Drosophila melanogaster: one gene and its partners. Changing the gene in region 3 together with the main gene of any one other region gives a genetic interaction. Each region holds a gene or a part of one and is shown on either strand. Other genes may lie near its edges.

Region 1 (7,871 bases), on a different chromosome or scaffold from region 3:
ATGTATCCCAGTAAAGTAAGAAAATTATAACACGCTTTCAACTCAAGTTGAATATGAGCTTTAGGAAAAGAAATTGAATAGTCAAATTTAATCGTAATATTGCACAGTCATAAAGAAGGTACTCGAGTCTTAGTTACTGACATTTAAGGTCTAGGAATTTTGTATCGCTAAAAATGGTAATATTCAACTCAAGTCGAAAATCATACATATTAAAAATCTTTTAAGAGTAAATCATTAAGGTTTCAAGTGTTGGATGCGCACCGACAATGATGTTTTCTTCGTCCAAGCCAGAACTCAGTTTGACAACTAGAGCAACGCGAAACTGCATGGTCTGGCACCCAGAGGACACTGGAGGCTTTTTTCTCTTGAATCGAGGAAGGGGCATACGAGGCGGGACCACTACGTTCTTCGACGGCCTCCCAGGAACATGTTGAAGCATTTTCAACGATATCCGATCCATTTTCCTAGAGAAGAGTTAAATAATTAGACGACTGACAGTTAATGCACATTGTAACTTATGATTAGATGGCAGAGTATTGCCCCTGATTGAAACACCACCACCACTTCGCGCTCTGGTGATTTAAGGATGAAACAAATTCATATTTTACAGAATATGCACTGTGAGAATCCAAAGACCAAGGCCCATGTTTTAAACAAATTGGGCAGTCACTTTGCACCGAGGGTCTATAACTAACATTAACCACGCTTTTCAAGAATATATGCACGCATTTTGTATCTTAAACGATCATTATTTACATGTTCCATATTTGTCGAAACGATGCTGTTGCAGCTGGGGCAACCTTTTTCCAACAGAGCCAGTCGCATACCGTGTATTTCTCGCAGTAGCATTTCCTCACGTAGCTGAAATAGTGTATGTGATTAAAATGACTATAATGAAAACTGCTTTTGCACCGGAGCTCACCTTGTGTTCTTGTACGATTTGGTGGAGTCTTATGTTTTGTTCGCTGAGTCCGTGAGCCAGGCCATCTGGACAGGATATAGTGAACTGAGCCCTCTCCTGAAATGGTGTTGGGGGCAACGAAATGATCCCCGACGACGGAAATTGGTGTGCGCTGAAAGTAGAGTTTTTTTTTTTTTTGATTCAGTCCAATGGGAGATGCCACCAGTGAGAAAGTACACACAACTCACCTGCCATTTTCAGCCGTGAACTTCATATCGCGACTGTAGCTCGAGCCGAAGGTATTTCGCCGTATTCGTCCGCCCGTCGAGGGAGCATCGAATGGCGACTGGCCCACGAACCGCTGAAGGTCGGGTGATATAAAGAGACTTTCCTCGCCGTTGTAGCCATCGGATGCCAGCAGGGATCCGTTGGCATTGGCATTCGCATTTGCATCTTTGGCTAACTTTTCCGGCTTGCAACGGTCCGGATTTCCCGTCGTCTCCCTTGGCACTTGTAGGTCCAGGTGATGGGGAAAAGCGTCTACCCGCTGCGGGCATATAACGGCATTCGGTCTTATGTGTACCTTGGGCAAATTATTGTAGCTCTGACTGATTTTACTGGCTTGGACAGTGCTAGTCGACTCCAGCTTTCTATCACCACTGACCAGTTCCATTGTGGGGGATGTTATGTGATCTCTACTGCTATTGTCGCTGTTTGGTTTTTGTACGGGCTCCGCAGGAATAAGGGTATCAGTGCTGGTTTCAATTGCGCCATGCCACAGGGCGCGAGAAATATCACTTGTGTCTTCAGATTTTAAAGGAACTGGACTTTGATCTGAAATCATTAAGATAGTTAATGTAACGTATTCATTCTATTCTTCATTCTAACATCTCTTACCGTTTTCGGATGAACCAAATATGAAAAAAGGTCGCCCAGATTCAGAGTTCAGTTTCTGTGAGGTCGCCAAGGATTCTTCAGATTCCGAAGGAACTGCATTTTTATCTAAAACCATTAAGGTAGTTAAGTTTAGTTAAGTTCTTTTGCTTTATCCTAACATCTTTTACCGTTTTCGGATGAGCCAAAAATGAAGACAGACCCAGGGATCAGCTGTGAGGACTCCAAGGAACTTCGCCTTTGCGTTTGTGATTCCACTTCCAATATATCACGTTTAGAAGCTGTACTTTGGTCGTTATGGAAATCTGGAATGGGATTATTTGAACGGCCACATGGACCTACTTCAGTTGCATCCGTCACGTCCAGCTCTACTTCTTTGGAGTCTTTAACACTTTCTTGGACATTTTCGCTAACACTGTTGTTGGCCTCGGATCGTATGTCAAACATCGAGTTGCTATTGGCATTGAAACAATCTGTAACACTGAATCGTAGGGAAAAGAACGAAATTCATTTTGCTGCCGGATCAAATAATCTTCAGTTGACCTACATGGATTCAACGGTCAGGTTGGGATCACTGGACCTCCTGGAAATGGTGCTCTGTCCCAACTCATTCGTTGTTAAGTCTTCAGAAGATCGTGTCTTCGCCATGAGGCCTATTGGTTGTGGCAGTAAGGAGTAAAAAGTGAGTCAATTTCAATTAGGAGTACTCTACTCAACTCACCATTGTGTCCGCTCTGTCTTTCATTACTTAGTAATGGTAGATCAGTTCCATTTTTGTTGCCTAAACTACCAAGGTATACATCAGACCAAAAATATAAAAACCGCACACTGTGCGCTGGCCAAAGAACCTAAAAAAAAAAACACAAAAATCATTAGCATTCTCCTTTAGGCTGACAGCATATATCAAGTTATTAACCACCTTTTCAGTCTCATGCTTATAGAGAGGATTTCTATACATAGTTTCCGCTAAAAATGGCCACACGGAAAACGTTCGGTCGAAAACTGAATTCTCGATGCGTTCTCTGAGCGAATTACATAGGAACGTGCCGAAGAGACAGGACAACGAATGTTGCGCCAGTTTGATCTAAAAAGAATGCATATAACAAGGAGTTAATGTGCACAACTCCGTGCGAAATTCCATGCCACCACTTACCAAATAGCTTATACTAAACTCAAAACTGCATGGATACTGCCTGTGTATTTGATGCACAAGATCAAGCCACTGCAGAAAAACTGGACATCGCTCGTTAACTTCATCGGAATTGGGACCATTTCCAGAGCGATCGGCGAATTTGTGTCCAAAGTTCAGCCATTCACGCTCGACAAGAACGCGGAACCCCTGCAAATACAAGCAAGTAGGTAGAGTATTAGTCCATAGAACACAAATGTTGATGTATATCAACGTACCTCAACCGTTCTGTAGTAGGGATCCAAACATAATTGCGCCGTGGCCACGATCTGTGGAGTGCGATCCCAACCGTCTGAGCAATGTACAAGGACGGGTCGTCCATTCTTCTCGATGGTGTGCACAACGGTCATGGTGGCTCCCAGCAGACCCGACAGGTGCTGCATCCACATGGTCTTTTCCAGTTGTCCGTACCAGCTGCAAGAATATGATTCCATTACATAAATATATATATATCTTTAATAATCAGCTAGTAAACTTACTTTGGATCATCGGGGGATGACGCGCATAGCTGTCGGACAGCGTGGAAACTCTTTCGAATGGCGTGGATGTTGCCCAAGTTCATAAACTCAATCTCTGCACAGGGATAGTACTCGATGCACTCACAGCCGCCACCTCTGGCACGATTTGTAACTGCGGAGGTGTAGCTGCGAGCATCCACAATGAGGATTTTCTGAAAGCAAATACAATTTAAGAGCAATGATCAAATTATTTCATTAGCACTTGGCGGTTTTGACATCATTTTACTGCTCCGTGTTAAGTAATTTATGATAATTATTCATGAATGTTTTCTTATATGGTAACTGAAACCTTCATTTCAAGAATACCCGGCTATTTTGGTAATAAACTTACCTTGATTTCATCCAGCGTGAGTTCCTCATGCGAGGAATCGTCCAGAGATGGTGAACTCTTGCCGGATAAGCCCGACTGGCCGTTGGTCTCCTTGGAGCCCTTTGTTGGTTGCGCCTTTGCATTGGCGCAGGTGGAATGCCTGGCGTGCTCGCCCCTGTCAAAGGCACAGGCATCGGCGAGTGCCTTGAGTAGCTGCTCGTCCCTTGTGTTGCGCCAGCCGAGCCAACCGACCTCCGGCTGGCTGCATCGGGCCAAGATGGCACCCGACTTTTGGTGCCGCCAGACGACAGCCGGCAGCCTTCGTGATCCCCGGAAGTTGGCCACGTTGTGGAGCATCTCATCGGTGATACAGCAGGGCACAAGCAATTTGGGTGGATACGAGGGACAGAGCTTAAAATCGGCATTGGCCGTGGAGATGCGCCACGAGCCCTTCAGATCGAATCCCAAGCGGGCAACCTCGTTCTTAAAGTCGCTTTCATAGCGCACTGATCGTTGCAGGCGATTGCTCATGGCGGCTGAGATGGTCTCGCTGGCAGGATCGGGCAGAGGATTCGACGCTGTGACGTTGGCTGTTGGCTTTGCCAAGCCATTGTGTAGCGTTAGGCAACGATCCTTGGCAATCAGGCCGTTTCCGTTGGCCTGGGCGCTAACGATACCGCTTCCATTGCCACTTCCGAGCACATCGCAGGTCCAGGAGTAGAAGGGAAAGGCGAAGAGTGTCTCCAGTGACTCGGGAACCCCGATCATCAGATGGATCCGGCGCTGCCAGTCGGAGCACTGTTCCGCCGACGGAAAGGAGCAGCGCACAGTGCTGGCATCCTTACAATTGACAATCAGCTGGAACAGATCTCGCACCTGTACGGATTCGATTAATCCCAATGGAACGTAGGTCTCGTAGCCGGTTGACTGCTTGGAAAGGAATATCCGATAATTGGACAGGGCGAGGATACCATCATCCGTGCGCCCCAGGTACTTAATCGATTCGCCGGCCACTAGTGGTATATATACTATAGATTAGCATGTGTTATCGGTTACAGCATATGGGGGAACACCTACACTCTTGAAACGGGACGAACAGCTGGGAGTCTTCCTTCTCCATTTGTGACTTTGGATACGATTCGGCGGCACGGATAAAGCAAATCGATGGAGGCGGTGATCCATCGGACATTGTGTGAATCGGCTAAAAGAATACTTAACATGTAACGTATTCGAAATTACTTATTTGCTTATATTTAGGCAAGGCGATTTGGGTGTCATTGGAAATCCGGTTATCGCTTATAAGTGCATATATCTCTTATATCCACCATCCGAATACATAATTACGCACAACAGTGTGTGTGCGATGTTATTGGGACGATTCGATACGTATAGTATAGTGGCTCCCATAAATAAATAAATAATACTATGCACATATGTGCATGTGCATTAAGCAGTGCACAAACAAAGCCAAATAAATGTCACTGGGATGATAAATTGGGCACAATCAACACTTTTAGAACAAATCGAAGTTAATATTTGAGTTTTTGAGTGTCGTGGTGGCAATATAGATAATGCACTGCATATATATGCACGTATGGATGTACAATGTACAATGAACATACATTTATGTGAGCACACACAGTTGCAGTTCCACAAGGTGCGCAATATATAGTATGCACATATTTGTGTGTCGCTGCATTACATACGCACGCACATATATACCAATAGACTAGATTATCACGATTTCATAGCCAATAGGCGAAAAATGGCCGATTATCGTACTCAACGTATTCTAATGGCCGTGTATGTTGTCATAAACAAAGTAATTAAACATTTACGCATGTGTATGTTTGCATAAACTCATATGTATATTTGTCTATGTAGGTATGTTTGTGTTTCGATATTTCGGGGAGCAACAATAACACATTACAATCGTACATATGTATGCACACACATTTGGTTTTTGGATTCCACAAACCGTTCGCTCAGCAGACTTTTCGGGGTATTTAGCTCAAAACGTATTGCCGAATTGAAAACGCGCTTGGCTTCTAGATTTTCTCGCTCTATTTACCACCATAAAATCCATAAGCGTCAGCTATTATAAACAAAGATTTGCAAATGTTGTTGCACATACATATGTATGCATATGTATTCATTTAGACACTTTTTGTTTCATTTCCATTGAAATTGCTATCGTTGTTTGCTGCTATCGCTGTTATCGCTGCTGTTAGCGATGGCCAAGTCATGTGACTAAGCTATCGTTACTCGATTGCCGATGAGATGTGCATTCGAGACTAACCAACACTGGCCAGCCGATAAAATCAACCAAAAATTTGTAAAACTTAATAATTGTGCGTACGTTTGCATTCCATTCCAGCTGATGTGTAACTGAAATCAGAAAAAAAGAGAACCGATCGCTTGGACTCTCCGCCGGTGCACGCAATTCTACGCCCACTCCTCGCCAGCCGCATTCGCCATTCGGAAGCCGAACAAGAATGTTTGGAGCCAGAATCGGAATCGGAAAGCTTGGGCCGTGTGTGGCCCTAGTTGCGGTGAGTCGACGTGTTCCGTTCTGTCTGGTCATGTTGCTGGTCACTGGAGTGGCTCACCCGCTCGATCAGCGGGCGGGGAAACAGTGGGGAGGGGCCGGCCAGACAGCCCCGGCTTTTTTTTGGCTCCCCCTAACCAAATAACTAACTAACCAGAACTGACATCCTATGGAATTTACAGATTCTACAGCTACTCCAGTACACACAGCCGGCCGATGCCGCCGGAGCCGTGCCCATGACCAGTGATAATATCGATATGACCCTAGGTGAGATATGCCCATACCATAACCATCACAGTCATCCCCATGCCATTCCCGCTGCCAGCGTGAGCGGGAATCAATTAGCCGACTTGTCCCATTGACGTGTCACTAAACAAAATCACTGGCTCGCTCAATTCGGCACTGCCAACGTGGTAAAATAAGTTTTATGCGCTTTCGTAAAGGACAAGGTGTGGAATTTGGATAAAACTTAATTAGGGCGGTTTATATTTCATGCTGCATCGGTCCGATAGTCCGCCAAAATGGGCACTAGCCATTGGTCGGCAGTTCTTTGCTCAGAATGTCCGAAGTTTGGTCTTTGCATGAATAGGTCCTTTTTATACGGTGTGTCCTGTACACAATCCTGCGGTAATACTATATTGTTTTTTTAAAGTTATTTTTTTTTATTATCCAAACGTTAACTTTTACAGTAAAGCCTGGCCTTAGGCTTGCACCCCTTAAATTTTAACTTTCGGAAGTTATGGAATAGTAGGATGCTAGAAATTTCTTGACTTTAATATGTATATTCAGCGACAAATTTAAATATATTCCATAAAAATACATATGCATTTAAATTATTAATACATAAACCCGTAATTCAATATTGATATAAATATATTACCAAATATATGTTTTTAAAAGTTATTATATTTAGTATCTGAACGGAGTTGTATTCTACGCATCAACAATTTTACACACAATTTGGTGCCTACATTAAAAACACGTTTTGTTTTCTTGCAGCGTCTAATGAATTGGTTTTCCTTAATTTTTATGCGGAGTGGTGTCGGTTTAGTAATATTTTAGCACCTATATTCGCGGAAGCTGCAGATAAGGTGAGTCAAATGGATCGCCAGTAAAAGCTTACAAACAATGCGATACATTCATATACATTTTATATCGAATAAATACGTGGCATTCAATCGAATTTCTCTTACAGATTAAAGAGGAGTTTCCAGAGGCTGGAAAAGTGGTGCTAGGCAAGGTCGATTGCGACAAGGAAACGGCCATCGCGTCCCGTTTCCACATAAACAAGTATCCAACATTGAAAATTGTACGCAATGGGCAGCTCAGCAAGCGCGAATACCGAGGACAGCGTTCAGCCGAAGCGTTCCTCGAGTTCGTCAAGAAGCAGCTGGAGGATCCCATTCAGGAGTTCAAATCCCTGAAGGATCTGGAGAACCTGGACTCGAAGAAGCGCCTCATTCTGGGCTACTTCGATCGTAGGGACCAGCCAGAGTACGACATATTCCGCA
Region 2 (7,943 bases), on a different chromosome or scaffold from region 3:
AGCCTGAAGAAGGAAGATGACCCAAGTTTCGAGTGCTCTGATGACTCAGAATCTGGGAAAACTTGGAATTTGGTAAAGGAAACTGGTTTTGGAGTTGCATCCAGGGCTTTGAATGCAGGAAATGAGAATGAACTACCAGTGGACAAAGTCGCAAATGGAGCCGGTCTGGGAAGTGATGATCTTGAATAATCAGATATTCGAAACAAAGTAAATGGATTTGATTCTCTAGGTGTTGCAGCCTTAACAGTAATTATTGTGTGACATTTAATTGTGAGCTTGGTCTCCGGATCGTTAACTCTAAAGTCAACCTTATGGACTCCAGCTGGCAGATGACCCTGAAGTTGACCAGCCCAAGCGGGATGGGCGACCAATCGGCCATTCTTAACATTAGTTTGGGGTCTTTGAAGAGTCACATGAGCCTTCTGCTCACCGGCATGCAGTAGGATTACAACATTTTCCGGGCAATTGATATAGGGCCTAATCTGTTCCACATTCTGGATTTGATGAGGAGTCACTGTTTTCGGAGAATTCCACATCGGGGATAATTGATTTCCAAGCAAACCGTTTCCGAATGGCTGACAGTTGAGATCTGCACCGAACGACCAGCCCTGCAGCATCATGCAGGCGGTCAACAAGGATCCGGTGGACACGAAGCCAGCATTGCACTGAAGACGGCAAACGTCACCAAATCGAGATGGACCCTGAGTGCAGCTAGCTGGGAGTATAACTCCATTTTGGGCGGGCTTTAGAGCGGGGCAGATTCCAGGACTCTGTGCACGAGGTTGGTTGATGGCTGCGAAAAGGTACGGAAGAGGTACGGAATGCCAACTGTATAATCTATTACTTAACTTAATGACTCACCAACACACTTGGTTTCGGGCCCCTCCCAAATTCCATTGGCGTCACAGCTTTTGATCTCAGGACCCTGAAGAATATAGCCCGAATTGCATGAAATTCGGCAGCGACTGTAGTAGAAGAGCTTCTGCTTATGGCGATACCTATTGCAGTGGGACTTGCCATTTCGTGGTGCCTGAAATCGAGGGCACAGATCCCTGGGTTGCAACTGATTAACCCACAGACTTTTAGGCACTTCAGGACGCAGGGGAACGGGTGCTTTCGATGTAGGTATGTCAGCAAGGGGCGGAAGCTTTGGAAGACCTTCCCACTTAGGCAAAGATGGAAACTTGGGCTCTGGGTAATCGAACTCAGCTGGTTTCTTGGGATTCTCGGGTATTTCATTGGACAGCTCGGTGAAATCAGGATACTTTGGCGTCTTCAATTCAATTTTGGGCGATTCAGGCAGTGACGAAGCTGTGGGAATCTCCGGCAGAACGGGGAACTTGGGAAACTCGCAGCGGAAGCCTCCAATCTCGTTTATACAGGTTCCAGTGATACAACTAGTCTTGTCTTGGTCACACTCATCGATGTCCTGGCAAGTCTTTTGATCACTATCTAGTTCATAGCCCGGTGGACAGCTGCACTTGAATGAACCCTCGGTATTGGAGCAGCGATGCGAGCAGCCACCGTTCTGCTTCTGGCACTCATCGATGTCCACACACTTGTCGTCCGATCCCAGGGTATAACCCGGATTGCATTCAATTGGAGCACATCCATCCGCGGATCGCTGAGTTCCCGGTGGACAACCCACCAGAGCGGGACTACAGCTACGACCATCGTCGTTGAGTATGTAACCCAAGGGACATCCACACTCAAAGGTACCTGCCTTATTGATGCACTCGTGGCTGCAACCACCGGAAAGAAGGCCGGCACACTCATCCACATCCAGGCAACTTAGCTTGTCCTTGGCCAGCTCATAGCCCCTTTCGCAGGCACAGGCATGGGTACCTAAAAGATTGATGCAGATGTCGCTACAGTTTCCATAGTCCTGCGAGCACTCATCAATGTCGGCGCAACCGAATCCATCTGGAGTTAGCTCGAAACCCGTTTCACAAGCGCAGGCAAATCCCCCAGGTTGATTCAAGCAGAGCTGCGAGCATTGGCCATTGCTATCGAGGCACTCATCAATGTCCTGACAGGTGCGCATATCCTCGGATAGGGCATAGCCCAAGGGACAGGCGCACTGAAAGCCACCAGGCTCGTTCTGGCAAAAGTGGGAGCAATTCCCATTGGCCAGAGAGCACTCATCAATGTCCAAGCATGTATGCGCTGATGGGGTTTCGGATGAGGTTGAATCAGTAATGAATGAGCTGTTTAGTGATGTGACTATGTGGTTATCCAAGCCAAGGGCATATCCCGGTGGACAGAGGCAGGTGTACGAACCATTGAGGTTCTCGCAAAGCATTTGATCACTGCACCCATGAGTTCTCTGCGAGCACTCGTCGATGTCGAAGCAATAGCCGCGTATGCCATCAAGCTTGAGGAGCTCATAGCCGGCGGCACATATACACCCATACGAACCTGGAAGATTTCGGCACACCTGCTGGCAGCCACCGTTATTTACCAGACACTCATCCACGTCCTCGCAACTCTTGCCATCGGCACTTAATCGAAATCCCTCGCGACAGGCGCAAACTCCTCCTCGGGCAGTCAGGCAGATCTGTTCGCATCCGTTGTTGTTCACCTCGCAGAGATTCTCGGCCAAACAGGTGTACTCCTCGACCAGGTTGAGTCCTTCGGGACACTGGCACTGATAACCACCGGGTGTATTCTGGCAAGTGTGACTGCAAAGGTGTGTATCCTCTGCGCACTCATCAATGTCCTGGCAACTGAATGCCTCACTGCGGTAGCCCGTTGGGCAAATGCAACTGAAGCTGGTATTATCCTCACTGGCTAGACAGGTTCCCGGGGAGCACTTTTCAACTCCCTTTTCTGTGGAGCATGGAGATTCTTGCACCAAACAGGAATGCTGATCCTCTGATAGTTCATAACCCTTGGGACACACGCATCGGTAGCTTCCCTCTGGCAAATCCTGGCATTCGTGGGCACATCGAGTGCGATTCAACTGGGGATTCTCCAGATCCGTACAGCTATCCAATGCACAGCTTCGTTGATCTTCGAGCAGGTGGTATCCTTCAACGCAGGTGCAACGGAATGATCCAATAGTGTTCTCGCACTTTTGCTGACAGACTGCGTTATTATCAAGATCCTCAGGACCGTCTACCTCGCACTCATTAATGTCCTGGCAATCAGTGCCGTCGGCGGAAAGTTGAAAGCCAGAATTACATGTTTTTCCGGCGGGTTGTGATTCGGAAACGTTCACTGGGACTTCGTTGGTCTTCTCAATGGGATTCTCCACGACTTCCGTGATCTCGGGATTCTCCTCCAGCGGCTCCACACAGCGATATGAACCTGGCAGATTCTCGCAAGCACCCTGGCAATTCGATGACAGCTCGGGATTCGCACATTCATTAATGTCTGAAAACAAGTATATACCATTTAATGTGAATTTTTTTTCTTTTTAAATATCATTTATTAAAACATACCAACACAACTCTTTCCTGACTCGTCTAAGTAATAACCCTCTTGGCAGCTACATTTATATTCTCCTGGAAGGTTTTCGCAAATTTCCGAACAACCACCATTCGATTCCAGGCATTCGTCGATATCTTCAAAAAGAATAATATTGTCTAGCAAATTCTTTCAATTTAATTATATATAATACACCCACCGAGGCAGCTAGCATAATCGTTAGGATCCAGGGTATAACCCTCTCGACAATCGCACTTATTGATGGGCTGGTTTTCATCTGGATAAAGCAATCGCTTGCAAATGTGCGCACAGCCTCCATTGTCTTCGCCACAATTGTTATCCAAGAATGTTGGCTCATAAGGATCATTGGTGACCTTAACAGATGCATTGCTGGAGTTGAGTACATCAGTTTGGACTTCCGCTTTCAGGGGAGTTTCGTTTTCAAGGACCTCATTTTCAGTTTCAGTCTCCGCTAAAGCAGGTTCTGATTCAACGACTTCATTTGCATGATCATCATTAATTTCGATAACTATTTGTGGTTCAGGCTTGGAATCGGCTCCATCCACTACCGGTGGTGGTGGTGGCGGTGGTGGTTCCCTTTCACTAACCTCTTCATCATCATCCTCATCAATATCACTGTTCTCGACGTAATCGTTGGGCACAGTTTCGTCGGAATAATCTTCCAAATCGTAACCTACTTTCTCGTCGTGTTCTTCAAAATTCAATTGGGGAATGCAGGTGGGTATTTCATCCACCCATTTCTGGTTCGAGCAAAACATTTCTGAGATTCCGTTTTCAAAGTCGTAGTTATCATCGCATACGAAAAAGGCCACTAGGAAGACCTTCTTTCCCCTCCGGCGGCGATCGAAAACGGACACCCTACCATGATTAATCTCCGGCGGAAGGATTTTGGCCGACGAGCAGCTCATGTCCAAAGAAGCAGCCAAGGAGTCAGAAACTTTAGGATCCTCTGGAATATTCATGACATTTTTCCTTTTTCGCTCGGAGCTTGGAGAAGCTAAATGGAAATAGAAATACATTAATTTTTAAGATATAACCAGAAAATTAGCATAAAAGAAACCTGTTGAAATTTATAGGCCTATTTAATAGAAATTCCAGGGATTGGAGACATTAGTTCTAAAAGATTGTGCGATTTTATAACAATAAAGTTGTATGCAGATCAAAAAAAATGAACATGCCCATAACATAAACATAAACGGTTTTCCGTGTTATGCATCCAAAATTATTTAGTGCACTAAAAGATTTCTCACCAGAACTTAAAGGCAATAAAACATTTTATTGTTCGCTCCATACCACAAACAGCTGTTCACAATCACCCAAATATGTTTAAAAAAAAAAGCCCGATTGTATTATCCTAGAATCTTTGCCTTTAAGGGGAATCCCATAAAAACTAGGTGATTCAATCTTTTGAATCGTTGCCAAAAGATATTTCTTTGCCATATAGTCTTCACGGTTTTTTAATTTAATTTGTCATTTTGGGACTTGCTTTGTTTTGATTTACGATCAGTTTTTATATGTTCAGTTTTCATAAAGCCGGCCGGTAATTTGGTGAGTAATATTTCGCTAAAATATATAAGTGCCCCGTGTTAGCCATGACTATTTTGTGTTACACATTTTCCGGAGAACGTGTCATAAAACTATGAATATATGCTCCATTAGCTATAAACCAAACGGTTTTTATGACCATTTTGTGGACATTTTAATGGTCAATATATATACATACATTTCAAAAAAGCAAAATAATCAAAAAAAAAAAATGATTTAATTTAAGGCCTTAAGGCAAATAATTATAATTTCCAATTAAATATTACAATACTCAATAGGTCTGAATTGGAATACATTTTTACATTCTCTATTTAAATCTATTTAAATGATATATTTCGTAATACCCAACCGATTGCCATAATCTAAAGAAGCACAATCCAAACTATAATAATCTTTTACAATCCCCAAAATTCCTTGTAAGCTATCCAATAAATTTCCCATTTCCACAAAATCCGTGAAATATTTTCGATTTCCACCCACACTCACCTGAAGCAAATGCAACGCATGCTAGCGCGCATAAAACATATTTTGCCGCCCACATTCTGCAGCCCTATTTCCGATCCTTATAGAACAGCTGCCACACACCTTTCCACTCTCACTTGTATCGGGTTCTTGGGTTCAAATTTTATAAAAAAGAATACATTAATAAGATTTCACGACATTCGTTTCTTTTTTTTATTTGTTCTCCAACATATTTATGGGAGAAGATCTATATATGTAGCGGCATATAGAGGAGCAAAGCCATTAAGATTAAGGCGGGTTTATAAATAGCACATGTTCAACACTTTTTACATATATTCACAGGTCATTCGTGAAGTAAATGTGTCGGATTTACATCAAACGAAGGCACTTTTTGCAATTAGAGTTCACTGAGAATTTCACTACTTTAATTGATTTAAAACACATAAAAACAGTCTGTATATATACTTCTGTAGTTTAAGGAAAAACCAGGAATAGTATTTTTATTTTGGAAAACGCACCGATTCCGTCGAGAGCCCAGACAAGACTGAGGAGCCAAAGAAATTCTGACTTTTCTCGAAGGGAACGTGAAAACAGTTTTTCGATGTCTCCAAAGATATATATATATATATAAGTTTATGGGTGTATATATGCTGATATTTCATTGATATCATAAAGCAAATTAGTGCGAGAGCGCACAAATGTCACCAGAGGGGGACGCGTAGAGGAAAGCTATTTTTACCCATGGTATTATCATTAGCATTGGGCTGTGATAATTAATGAGGTTCCGTCATCCATTGAACTTGATCGCATTGATCCTTCAGCAGCTGTCAAATGCGGTAGTCTCTAACATAATTTATATTAGCTGGTACTATATAGAATAAATAGTCTGCTCGCTCAGCTACTCTGTAGATTATCACAAATGGTTTTTAATCGTAATTGTAATTGAATACAAAAGGACGTAGTTCGCCTTAAATATAAATAAAGTTTGATACTCGAAGTATTTATATGTCGGACATAATGGATTTACACCCACAACTACCTGTTTCAAATGCAAATACTCATAAAGCATTTTCGGCTCCCACACTCAACAACCGTCTATTCCATCTTTTTCATTTTGACTTTTCTGAATCAAATTTTACTCGTTTATTTACATTTAATATTCTTTTCAACATTTTTATGGAAAGGAAGCTATGTTAAGATGCGTATTAGAGATTAGGGTACCATTAAAAATAACTCATGATTATATTTTTTGATATTCTTTAGTAAATCAAATTGTTTAACTTATAAAAATAACGCGCTTATACAAGGTATGAAATTATTTAAGTATTAAGTATTAGTATTTATTTAAGTATTAAGTACACATAATTTCATAGATTTTTAAAGAGGACCATCAATAAACAAATTGCCCATCTAAGCTCAAGATATTGGCGGAGTGTTAAGAGGTGAAACTTTCGCATGGGGGAGGCCATTACATCACAAGATTGGTCGACTGGGTCTCGAGCACTTTTGCTCTATTGTTGAGCGCATTATTAAGCGCCGCTTAGCTTATGTAATTAATGTCAAGCCAAATGGCAGTGCCAAGAGCCCGAAGTGGAGAGTCTAATGAACCAGCTGCGTGTGCTGATTTATATGCGACTTTTTTAGCTGGTTTGTTTGTACACAAGTATGTTATAGGTCTGTCTATCTGTCCCTCCGTCTGTCTGACTGTTTGTTTGGCCTGGCCAAATTGTGTTTTGTCACCGTCACCATCACGGACGACGTCTCTCGATCGCGCACTTAGGCCTCGTTTATGCGCAGGCTCTGCTCGATACTCCAGTTTCTTGGGCCATGTGAATGTGACATAAGTCGCCGGGTGTACGGCCATGATATATGAATATGACAAAGCGACATGGACAACTTTATTGGCTCATGAAAAGCGCTGTCACTGCTTGACTGACATAAATCGCCGAACGGCAGAAATAGGCATTCAGCGCCACAAGAGCCAATCGATTGCTGCAAAAAAAAAAAAAAAAATTGTCCAAAAAAGTGTTTGGCCAAAATAAATCAAAAATCAATCTTTTCGAAGGGCCCCTCGACGATCATCTCTGTGCGGTGGTGTGGGCCACAGTGAAATCTAGCGCAATCGAGCGATTTGCATAGGACAGAATATGCCGAATCGATTGCATAGTTCTTATCTGATTGGAACTGTCAACCCAAGCGGATATTTCGCTTCATTCATGGGCACGGACAAAAACTCATATGGAAATTAGAGCAACAATTGGACATCGTGCAACGTTTCTAAAAATAATAACCGTGTGGAGCCTTCATTGACCAACAGACAAACACACAAGCCCACGTCAGGAATGTTAGCAAGCGAATGCACGCCACCTATCGGGCGAACTGGGCGTATCCCGACACGCTACCCCCTCACACACACACACACACACACACACACACACACACACACACACACACACACACACACACACACACACAGATTTTCGTAT
Region 3 (3,972 bases):
TACTTCCGAAACAACATTCCGGTGTTTGAAATCTTGTAAGTGCAATCCAAGTTGCGGAGAATACTCCAGTCTAATGTGCTCTCCTTTCAGAGATGCGTGTGTGTCGTTGAATGTGCAGACACCGGTGTTTGATGGCCGCCTGATGTCGGCGCTAATTGACAAGCGTGTCGGCAACTTGATTATGGAATTGTTTGCCTTCCGCCACCACTGGATTCACAAGCGATAAAGCCCGCTTCCTCGCGCATATTGCCTGCTTCCCTACTAATTGAGTCCTAAAATAATTAAGAATGATCCAAAGAAGCGTGCCGAAGTCCAAATAGGACTTGATTGTGCCTTTTATTGCTGTGAAATGACTGTTAATTTTAAATGAGAGCTAACCAGAATCAAAATACGTACTTTTAGTACCACATTGCGTCTATCATCGTTGTTTTGAAATATTTGAAATTTGTGCATCCCAATCATGAGTAGATGTGAGACAATAAAGAAGAAGTATCTTTTAATACTAGCCACAAATGAAACTCCTCAAGAGACGAACTTCAGTTAGGTACAGCGCTGTATATTTTTGTATAAAAATATTCGAGATTAGTACAGAGATGGACATCTACACAGAAATGCTTTATATATATAGTGCTATAGTGCTTAGCCTAAGTGGTAAATTGAATTCAATGGCACCCGCAGGATTTCACAATCATGTTTCTATACTTTTTCAGGTTCACATTCTCGTCGTTCAGGTGGTACAGAACGGGTAGTGCTCCCAGCCTGGTCGGAGCGCAGCAGGGCTTGGGCACCTTCTTCGGCTCCAGCAGGTGGACCAGGGTCTGGACGATCGCATGGTTCGTGGCGTTCATGTGCGCATTGAGCGGGAAATTGCACTCGCCGCTGCAGTAGAAGGCGCCATAGCCCTCTGGTGCGATGATCCAGTCATGCCAGCCCAGATCCTTGAAGTCTATGTACAGGGTCTGCATCTGGCAGCTGCGCGTGCTCTCCATCGGTTCCAGCAGCGGCACGTTGTTGGGCGACACCGACTTCTTGCGCTTGCGTGGATGGCTGGCGCTTCGCTTGCTCCTGTGGTGGCTGCTGTGGGCCGTCGCCTTGATCAGCTCCGGTCCGCGGAAGAAGCCGATCATGAAGGGCTGGAACTCGTCGTCCACCTTGCGGTGGATCAGTCCAATGTCGTCCAGCTTCACCTCGCGGTCGGGTCGGTTGACAGCGTGTGCTCCAATGTAGATGCCATGATTGTCCTTCGACTTGACCAGCCACTCGTGCAGGCCCTCGGTCACGTTGAGCTCCAACCAGCCCACGTAGTCCCCGGTGGTGTTCACCGAGGACAGCGGCTCCATGGTGTGCTGGCCCAGCGTGCCGGTGCCAATGGCGTATACCGTGATGGTGAACTCCCTGTTGGCGGTCAGCCACTTGCCCTCGTTGGCGTTCTGATAGATGCGCAGCTCGGCCATCACCAGGTAGTTGTCGTTGGGCACGTTGGAGACGTCGAACCACAGGCGACGGCCGTGCTCGTGACGCAGTTCGTCCACATTGTGGTGGCGCTTGTTCAGGAAGGTCATGATGATGTCGCTCTCGTCGATGGCCCGCTTGTCCAGGTCGGTGATGAAGTTCTTCTGCTGCTCGCCCTCATCCTCCTCGAGGTCGGCGCTCCTCCTGGACCGATGGCCGCGTTCGTAGTCGTCGTCCTCATCCTGATCGCTGAGACCCTCCTCCGCCGTGATGCGGTGGTAGACGTCCAGCAGGAACTTGGGAGCCGACTTCCTCAGCGACAACTGGTGGCTGCTCAGGTGCGTCGGCCGTTCGGCGATGCCCAGGAACTCGAGGATCTCGTACGAGACGTCCAGCTTGTCGTCCTCGCTCAGCACTCTGTGCATGATCGTCTGGTCCTTGCCGTTGTCTATGTAAATCCCCGACTGGGTGGCCTCAACGGCCGGCGGCGTGGTCGCCACGAACATGAGCAGAACCATTCCGAGTCCCAGGGAGGCGAGCACTGCAACGGCCTCCGAGGTGTTTCGCAGTCCCGACATTATTTCGTGTTTTGGACGGATCGGTTGCGATCGCTGTTTTTCTATATCTACGGCGCTATCCACTTGCGATAGCTTCAGATGTACAGTGGCATTTAGTTGTTTATTTCGAGAGTTCCAGCGAACCGCGGGTTCTGAAAATTCTGACGCACTTACGGATTGTTGTGTGTATCTTAATCTTCAAGATGCATTTTCTTTCTATTTCGCGGGAGTTGGCAGTCCCGCGACTTGGAAAATGAATCGGTCTTGAAGATCGAACTAGAAGATCCAACATAGTAGTTCATTTCAGCTGCGATCGTGAGCAAATATGTGGTTTAATAGCTTCAAAAAAAAAAAGAAGAAACTGTGTAAATGTAGAAAATATAACGTTTATATTGGCAAAGTTCGTAATATTTTGATATTTTAAACTATTTATGGAAGTGGTATTGACGAAAGATTTGTAATTATGAATTTGTTAAATTTATCATAGTCCGGGCATAATTTGAAATATAATATAGGTAATGCTATTAAAAAATATTAATTAATATATATACATAGTTCATATTCAAAAGGAAACAGATCGATTTAAACATTCGGTATGCGATATACATAGGATACATTTTTATCGAAGATAAAATCGACCATCAATCGATATCCGATAGGTGGCCATGTTTTGCCCTTGCATCGCATCCCTCGCATCATCATCCGCATTCTGCATTCCTCATTCCGTTTCGGCGTCGCGGCGAGATAACGCGCGTTGTTTATTTGGTTTTAGTTTTAAGTTAGCGCGTTTTTACCCACCGCCGGTGTCGCCCAAATAATGCTAGACACAGCCTAGTGCAACGGTAAGCGGGATGCGTGCGGTGCAATTGGAGTACATGGAGTCTAACATCCGCTCAAATCCACTGCAGGCAAACCATCATCAATCACTCAAACCGCCACACAAGCAGAGACCGAAACGGAGCCATGGGCCGCAGCCGAAGTCCCGCCTCGCCGGCGCACAGGAGACGCGAGAAGGAGCGATCCGAGCGGAAGAAGCGCAGGGAGCGCCGTTCCCGGGAGCGGGAGGCCATCGGAGTAGCGCCAGCCGGAGGATCCGGATCTGGAGGCGCCGGTCGCCGCGACCGGGAACGGGATCGCGACCGCAGTCGCAGCCGAGATCGGGAGCGGGAACGGGAGCGCGACCGTGCGCGGAGTCGGCGATCTAGGTGAATAAGAAAGTGTAGTGTACCAAATGCCAACCACGATAAGTATAAAACTAGTCACTAAAATCGGGGATGTGGGTCACAGTTCAGGGGCGTGCTGGATAACCGTGAAATGGGGTTTAAATAGCAACCAATATTTATAAGTTTAGGATAAGCTTAGGGAGTGTTTGTGTAGATTTAGGAACACATTCCAACACAGGGGACAATTGACCCCTCAAACCCCCGAAATCGCCGTTCAGAACTTGTTTATTTACCCACGAGTATCGATAGACCCACACTTCGATAGGCAGCCAATCGATGGCTATGCAGCTCTGGCGTCCCAACATCAAAAAAAAATTACCACGTGAAGCGAAATTGTGCGAATTTCATCACGACATTTAAATTGATTTCCGGACATATAAACAGAATCCAGAACTCATCCGGCAGCAGGCTCAGTCAGGCCAGTAAATCCGAAAAGAGAGTAACCAGCAGGAAAAGAGGATCCACGTAAATACAGAGAAAATGGCTCTACGCGTCCAATTCGAGAACAACGACGACATCGGCGTCTTCACTAAACTAACCAACACATACTGCCTGGTGGCCATCGGTGGATCCGAGACCTTCTACAGCGCCTTCGAGGCGGAGCTGGGCGACACCATCCCGGTGGTGCATGCGAATGTGGGCGGCTGCCGGATCATCGGCCGCCTCACCGTGGGCAACCGCAACGGCCTGCTGGTGCCCAACTCCACCACCGACGAGGAGCTGCAACACCTGCGTAACAG
Region 4 (5,249 bases), 180 kb from region 3:
GTCAACATGGACATAACACTTCACTCCATGGAGGTGGTCAACCGGTAGGAATCCAAACATCGAGTATTGAAGGCTTCTTTAACATGCTCGAGCTCTCATTCCAGACTAACCACCTCCGGACCTTTGCCCACTGAGTTTATTCACCTATACATCAGCAATTGCATCTCGACTTGCGAAACAGTCAAGGACAAGTACATGCAGTCTCGCCTGGTGCGACTCGTTTGCGTATTTCTGCAGTCCTTGATTAGGAACAAGATTGTGAACGTTAGGGTATGCGCTACTACCATTTCCTCGACTGTGCTTAGTGACTATTCTATTGTTATTTTCCAGGAACTATTCATTGAAATCGAAGCCTTCTGCGTGGGTTTCAGCAAAATCAAGGAGGCTGCTACCCTGTACCGGCTTATCAAACACTTGGAAACTGGGGAAAGCGCTCTGTCGTCCAACTCCCTAGCTAAGTAGTGGTAGTGTTTAGCAGATTTTAAGTTTTAAAGTCTAGTTCATAATAAATCGATTAAATACGACAACTCCAGCTGTACATGTAAAACAAATTCGCATTTAATAACTTAAGTATCTAATGTAGAGTTGTGTGTTTTATGAGTGAGTGTTGGCTGCCTCGTTGGTGTGAAAGTAAAGTGGCTCGGCCGAGGGCTTGGGGAAACGGCTCAGGTAGCGTTCCAGTCTTAAGAATTTAATCGAAATCAGGCGCTTGTCGAACCACCAGCCGTTGATCTCTTTGTGAATCGTGCCGGCGTCCTCCTCGCTGGCGCAGCGGATGTACACGCAGCAGGACTGCACGTCCAGCTGGACATCGCAGATCTTGCAGCGCGTGCCGACCTTCTCGATGATCGACTCCACGATGGACTGCTTCAGATTGGCCTGATCCACCTCTGAGGAGTCGAACATGTGCCTAATCTTCAGGCAGGGAGTCGGCGGGTTGGCAATCTTGTTCGAGTTATCGAAGGCGGGACTCTGCCACTTCTTAACAAGCCCCACATCCTTTTTGTCAACGTTCCTGTTCCACGCAATTGTGCGCATTGCCTTCCCGTCACGATTCACCATTCCGAACAGCACACGGCTATCGTTTTTCTCCAGCTGCTTGAGGGCCTTGTTCCAAGAAGACAAGAGCTTTGAGCGCTTCTTGGCCGGCAGAAACTTCTCCTGCAGCTGGTTAATAACTACCTCGGGACTCTCGGACTGGGAGCTCAAGTAAATTAGCTCGTTTATTATGTCCTTTTGGAACTGATCGACCGCCAACAGGGCTTCCTTCTGCTTAACTCGGTATATTACTACCGCGACGTACACGATGAGAAATCCAGCGACTATTAAGAGAAGTGCACCGATAACGGTGAAAAACCTGGTAACTTTCTTCAACACAATGCACTTGAGCGGCAGATTGGGTTCAGAAAGCTCGAAGTGCGAGGTCTGTCCAAGGTGCTTCGTTGAATCCACCACTTGGATGCTCCACTGCGGATTCTCGGTAATCAAATATTTGGCAGCCATCAAGTTGCTGTGCAGATTTCCCCTGTGAGTCTTTGGGTTGCTGACCATTTCCCGCACAAACTCTCCTATTTCCAAAGCGGGCGACAAATTGGCGTCTTTGCAGTGATGGAGCCTGGCTCGCTCGTTCAGATGCCTAAAGAGTTCCTCGCTCATGTCCAGCGCACCCCTTAGCGAATCTTTTTCGATGCAATTCACCTTTTCGCTGATCATTTGCATATCGTTGGGGTTACATAATGTATACTTCAGTGCGGCCTTATCGATGGGGCTCTGCTCGAACCTCTTGCCCACATAGAGGACAGTGATTATTGTCAAAAATATTAAGAACAGCGAAATTAGCACTCGTGGTATTACATAGGGCCTGATGTCGGGATTCCTGATGAAGGATTTAAGGTCCGACAAAGCGAACCGAGTTAGCCTTTCTTTCCTGAGCGGGATTCTCGACGCCTGGCCAGTGGGATAGTTGAACTTCCGCTGGATCGTGGTATCCCGAAAGCTGAGCAGTCTATTTACCACGCCTCCGTCAGATAACTTAGCTTTTCCGCTCGGTTTGCCATAGTTATTCGACGTGTCTATGGCGTACGGCATGGAGCATGGCTGCAGGTATTTGCCATTTAACCCCAAGCTGTGCGGCGAGCAGTCTCCATCGTAATTGGAAGCCACAACCGGTGGTGGGGCGTACATTTTGGAGGCGGACAACTGAAGCGGGCTTGAGTCGCTCTCATCGAGACTGCGATTGTAAGCTGAGGAGCCTCCGGTCTGGTCCAGGTCGTTATTGTTATCAAGGCCATTGGCGTAGTTTTGGGGCGGTTGTGGGGCGTGGTACTGGTGGTACTGTGGAAATGGGGGCGACTCTTGCTGCTCCTTGGAGTACAGCACGTACTTGTTGCTCCTCTTTTTCAGCTTGTCGGCTCGCGTGTGCTTTCTCAACTTCTCGATGAGGACCGCTCGCGTTGTTTCCGTCACCGGAGTGCTGGGGAAGCCGCTCTGGATTAGCTTCCTGTGCAGTTCCTTGTCGCTCAAACTGTTCAAACTCTCGGTTGACATTTTTCTCGCTCTGCAAGGGAAAGAACATTTTTTAGAGTGTAGGAAACGCACACTGCAGCACACACATGCATACACAGGAATGTGCATATATAACTGCATAGCGAAGCACATTTTCACAAGCCCTTGGAAATAAGCAGAGGGATTTCGTCGGCTGTTGGCCAATAAGTTTCCGCTTATTTCTGATTATTCAATGGCGAAAAATATGTTTACCATTCAACGGACACTGGAAGATGTGCGAAATTAATGCAGTTTATAAATAACATACCTAAACACGTACTCTAGTATATAAAAATCGAACACTTTCGCATCACACCACGGGCTTGCAGTGTCACAGGCCAAAATTACATAAATATAAAATAAACTACCGACGTTAAAGCAACAGTCTTACAACCATATTTTGATTACAAATTTTTACGGCACGGCACATACTAAATTATTAAGTCAAGGGTGCGGCGTGGGACAAAGTGAAACGGAATGGAAATGGAATCTGCTTGAGTCGGTCGATAGGTTTTTCTTTACAATTAATCAATTATTTAGAGGGTATATGTGGCAATTGATGTACAATACGTTAAGGGTGGTATGAGATTTCGAAGAAACTAAAAACAAACTATGAGAAACAGTCTTGAATCGTTAGTTTTATTTAACGTCATACAAAAAATTTGTTCAAGAACATGAAAACCCTCCAGGCGATAGGTCGTTTTTCCGTTCATTCCAAACGCGAGACAAACCCACGCTTGCGTTCTCACCTATCGAAATCTGCTATTTGGAAAGCGATGGCAAAACTATCGGTGGAGGCCAATCAGTTTTCTTAAATTGTAGATACATTTATATGTGTTTGTGCTTTAAGAATTAAAATATTGTATGCCTTTTGCAAGGTGCGTATACGGGAGCAGTCTGCCTGCACTGAAATCCGGCCGATCCGGCCCTTCGCAGCGTTTTCCATTTCGAACGCGAACGGGCCGTGAAAAGTGTGTGTGTGTACACACATATTTTGTAAATGCAGTGCGACATACAGACAAGTGCATACACATACGCATGGGCACCATAAAAATATACCGAACCCGAAACCCCCAAAACGCCGAAATAATAATGGGTTCAAACTAATGGATTCCTCTCCATTCACAGGCCGACGCGAATGCCCGATAGAACCGACCACAGGCATGAATCGTAGGGGTTTGAACGCTGGCAATACGATGACTTCTCAAGCGAACATTGACGACGGCAGCTGGAAGGCGGTCTCCGAGGGCGGATCAATGCTGCCCGCGTCCAATTCGGCGGTCCTCAATCCGGACGGGAGCAACCAGAGCGGCTTCGCGCAGGGCGGCCTGCCGTACAACTCGGCCGGGAATCCGTACCCGCCCGCCGGCCAATCCTCGCCAGCCGGCAACCAGTCCATCGTGTTCCAGAACTCCAACCAGCCTGGCTCGAACACACCTCAGTATACCTCCTCACCTGCTCCCTCGGGCTCATCGACACCCGGACCTGTTGGTGCGCAGAACATTCCCGGCAACTACCCGCAGTCGGCGACGGCGGGCAATTTCAATGGTCCAGTTGGCGGGCCCTTCGGCTCGCCATCCTCGGGACTCGGCCAGTTCAGCCGGCCGGCCAGCTCGGGCACTCCGTTTAACAGTGGCCAGGCCGGGCACTTCTCATCGCCCACGGTATTCAGCGTTGGCGGGCAATTCAATCCGATGCCGCCGGCGTCGCCATTCGGCCACGGAGGCAACCACCCGATGATGGGCGGGCCGCAGCAGATGGAACGCATCGACCAGGGCTTCAGGCGGCACAATTCCTACTTTAGCCACACGGAACACCGCGTCTTTGAGCTAAACAAGCGGCTGCAGCAGCGCAACGAGGAGAGCGACAACTGCTGGTGGGACTCGTTTACCACGGAGTTCTTCGAGGATGATGCCCGGCTGACCATTCTGTTCTGCCTGGAGGACGGACCGAAGCGGTACACCATCGGGCGCACGCTCATCCCGCGCTTCTTCCGCAGCATATACGAGGGCGGCGTTTCGGACCTGTACTTTCAGCTGAAGCATGCCAAGGAGTCGTTCCACAACACGTCCATCACGTTGGACTGCGACCAGTGCACGGTGATCACGCAGCACGGCAAGCCCTTCTTCACGAAGGTCTGCGCCGACGCAAGACTGATCTTGGAGTTCATGTACGACGACTACATGCGCATCAAGTCATGGCACATGACCATCAAGGGACACCGCGAGCTCATTCCAAGGTCCGTGATCGGCACCAGTCTGCCGCCTGACCCGATGCTGCTAGATCAAATAACCAAGAACATCACGCGCGCTGGCATCACCAACTCCACCCTCAACTATCTGCGCCTCTGCGTCATCCTCGAACCGATGCAGGAGCTGATGTCGCGGCACAAGGCGTACGCACTGAGTCCGCGCGACTGCCTGAAGACAACGTTGTTCCAGAAGTGGCAGCGCATGGTGGCTCCGCCCGGCAAGAAGGATCCGCAACGACCACCCAACAAGAGGCGCAAACGGAAGGGCTCCAACTCGGGTGGTGGCAACAACTCGAACACTCCGCCTGTGACGAACCAGAAGCGTTCCCCCTCCGGTCCCAGTTTCTCCCTCTCCTCCCAGGACGTGATGGTGGTGGGCGAGCCGACGCTGATGGGCGGCGAGTTTGGTGAGGAGGACGAGCGGCTGATCACCCGGCTAGAGAACACGCAATAC

The links.
Region 1: of gbb (region 3) and CG3632, changing one suppresses a phenotype caused by changing the other (phenotypic suppression), as found in Drosophila melanogaster (one study listed by BioGRID).
Region 2: of gbb (region 3) and frac, changing one suppresses a phenotype caused by changing the other (phenotypic suppression), as found in Drosophila melanogaster (one study listed by BioGRID).
Region 4: of gbb (region 3) and MAN1, changing one suppresses a phenotype caused by changing the other (phenotypic suppression), as found in Drosophila melanogaster (one study listed by BioGRID).

The regions. Positions count from the first base shown.
Region 1 is NC_004354.4:16,294,803-16,302,673, reverse strand, and holds the start of CG3632 (uncharacterized protein), read right to left. Parts: upstream 6,004-7,871; 5' UTR 5,899-6,003; coding exon 5,884-5,898; exon of another isoform or gene 5,767-5,883; intron 5,592-5,766; exon of another isoform or gene 5,435-5,591; intron 5,033-5,434; exon of another isoform or gene 5,014-5,032; coding exon 4,890-5,013; intron 4,826-4,889; coding exon 3,834-4,825; intron 3,655-3,833; coding exon 3,464-3,654; intron 3,399-3,463; coding exon 3,203-3,398; intron 3,135-3,202; coding exon 2,949-3,134; intron 2,880-2,948; coding exon 2,715-2,879; intron 2,644-2,714; coding exon 2,517-2,643; intron 2,449-2,516; coding exon 2,343-2,448; intron 2,277-2,342; coding exon 1,966-2,276; intron 1,904-1,965; coding exon 1,799-1,903; intron 1,736-1,798; coding exon 1,150-1,735; intron 1,074-1,149; coding exon 923-1,073; intron 862-922; coding exon 757-861; intron 465-756; coding exon 262-464; intron 1-261. Other genes in the region: ERp44 (endoplasmic reticulum protein 44), read left to right, coding at 6,308-6,364, 6,543-6,627, 7,360-7,451, 7,556-7,871.
Region 2 is NT_037436.4:7,560,672-7,568,614, reverse strand, and holds the start of frac (faulty attraction), read right to left. Parts: upstream 6,006-7,943; 5' UTR 5,923-6,005; exon of another isoform or gene 5,607-5,922; 5' UTR 5,537-5,606; coding exon 5,482-5,536; intron 4,448-5,481; coding exon 3,629-4,447; intron 3,567-3,628; coding exon 3,444-3,566; intron 3,376-3,443; coding exon 862-3,375; intron 794-861; coding exon 1-793.
Region 3 is NT_033778.4:23,849,813-23,853,784, reverse strand, and holds gbb (glass bottom boat), read right to left. Parts: upstream 2,224-3,972; 5' UTR 2,031-2,223; coding exon 663-2,030; 3' UTR 538-662; downstream 1-537. Other genes in the region: bgcn (benign gonial cell neoplasm), read left to right, coding at 1-35, 91-226; eIF6 (eukaryotic translation initiation factor 6), read left to right, coding at 3,713-3,972; ytr (yantar), read left to right, coding at 2,973-3,214. UniProt on the Drosophila melanogaster protein: Required for the growth of imaginal tissues and for patterning of the adult wing.
Region 4 is NT_033778.4:24,031,996-24,037,244, reverse strand, and holds MAN1 (MAN1), read right to left. Parts: upstream 3,272-5,249; 5' UTR 2,813-3,271; intron 2,558-2,812; 5' UTR 2,548-2,557; coding exon 595-2,547; 3' UTR 538-594; downstream 1-537. Other genes in the region: Not11 (CCR4-NOT transcription complex subunit 11), read left to right, coding at 1-44, 105-462; Chi (chip), read left to right, coding at 3,545-3,566, 3,673-5,249.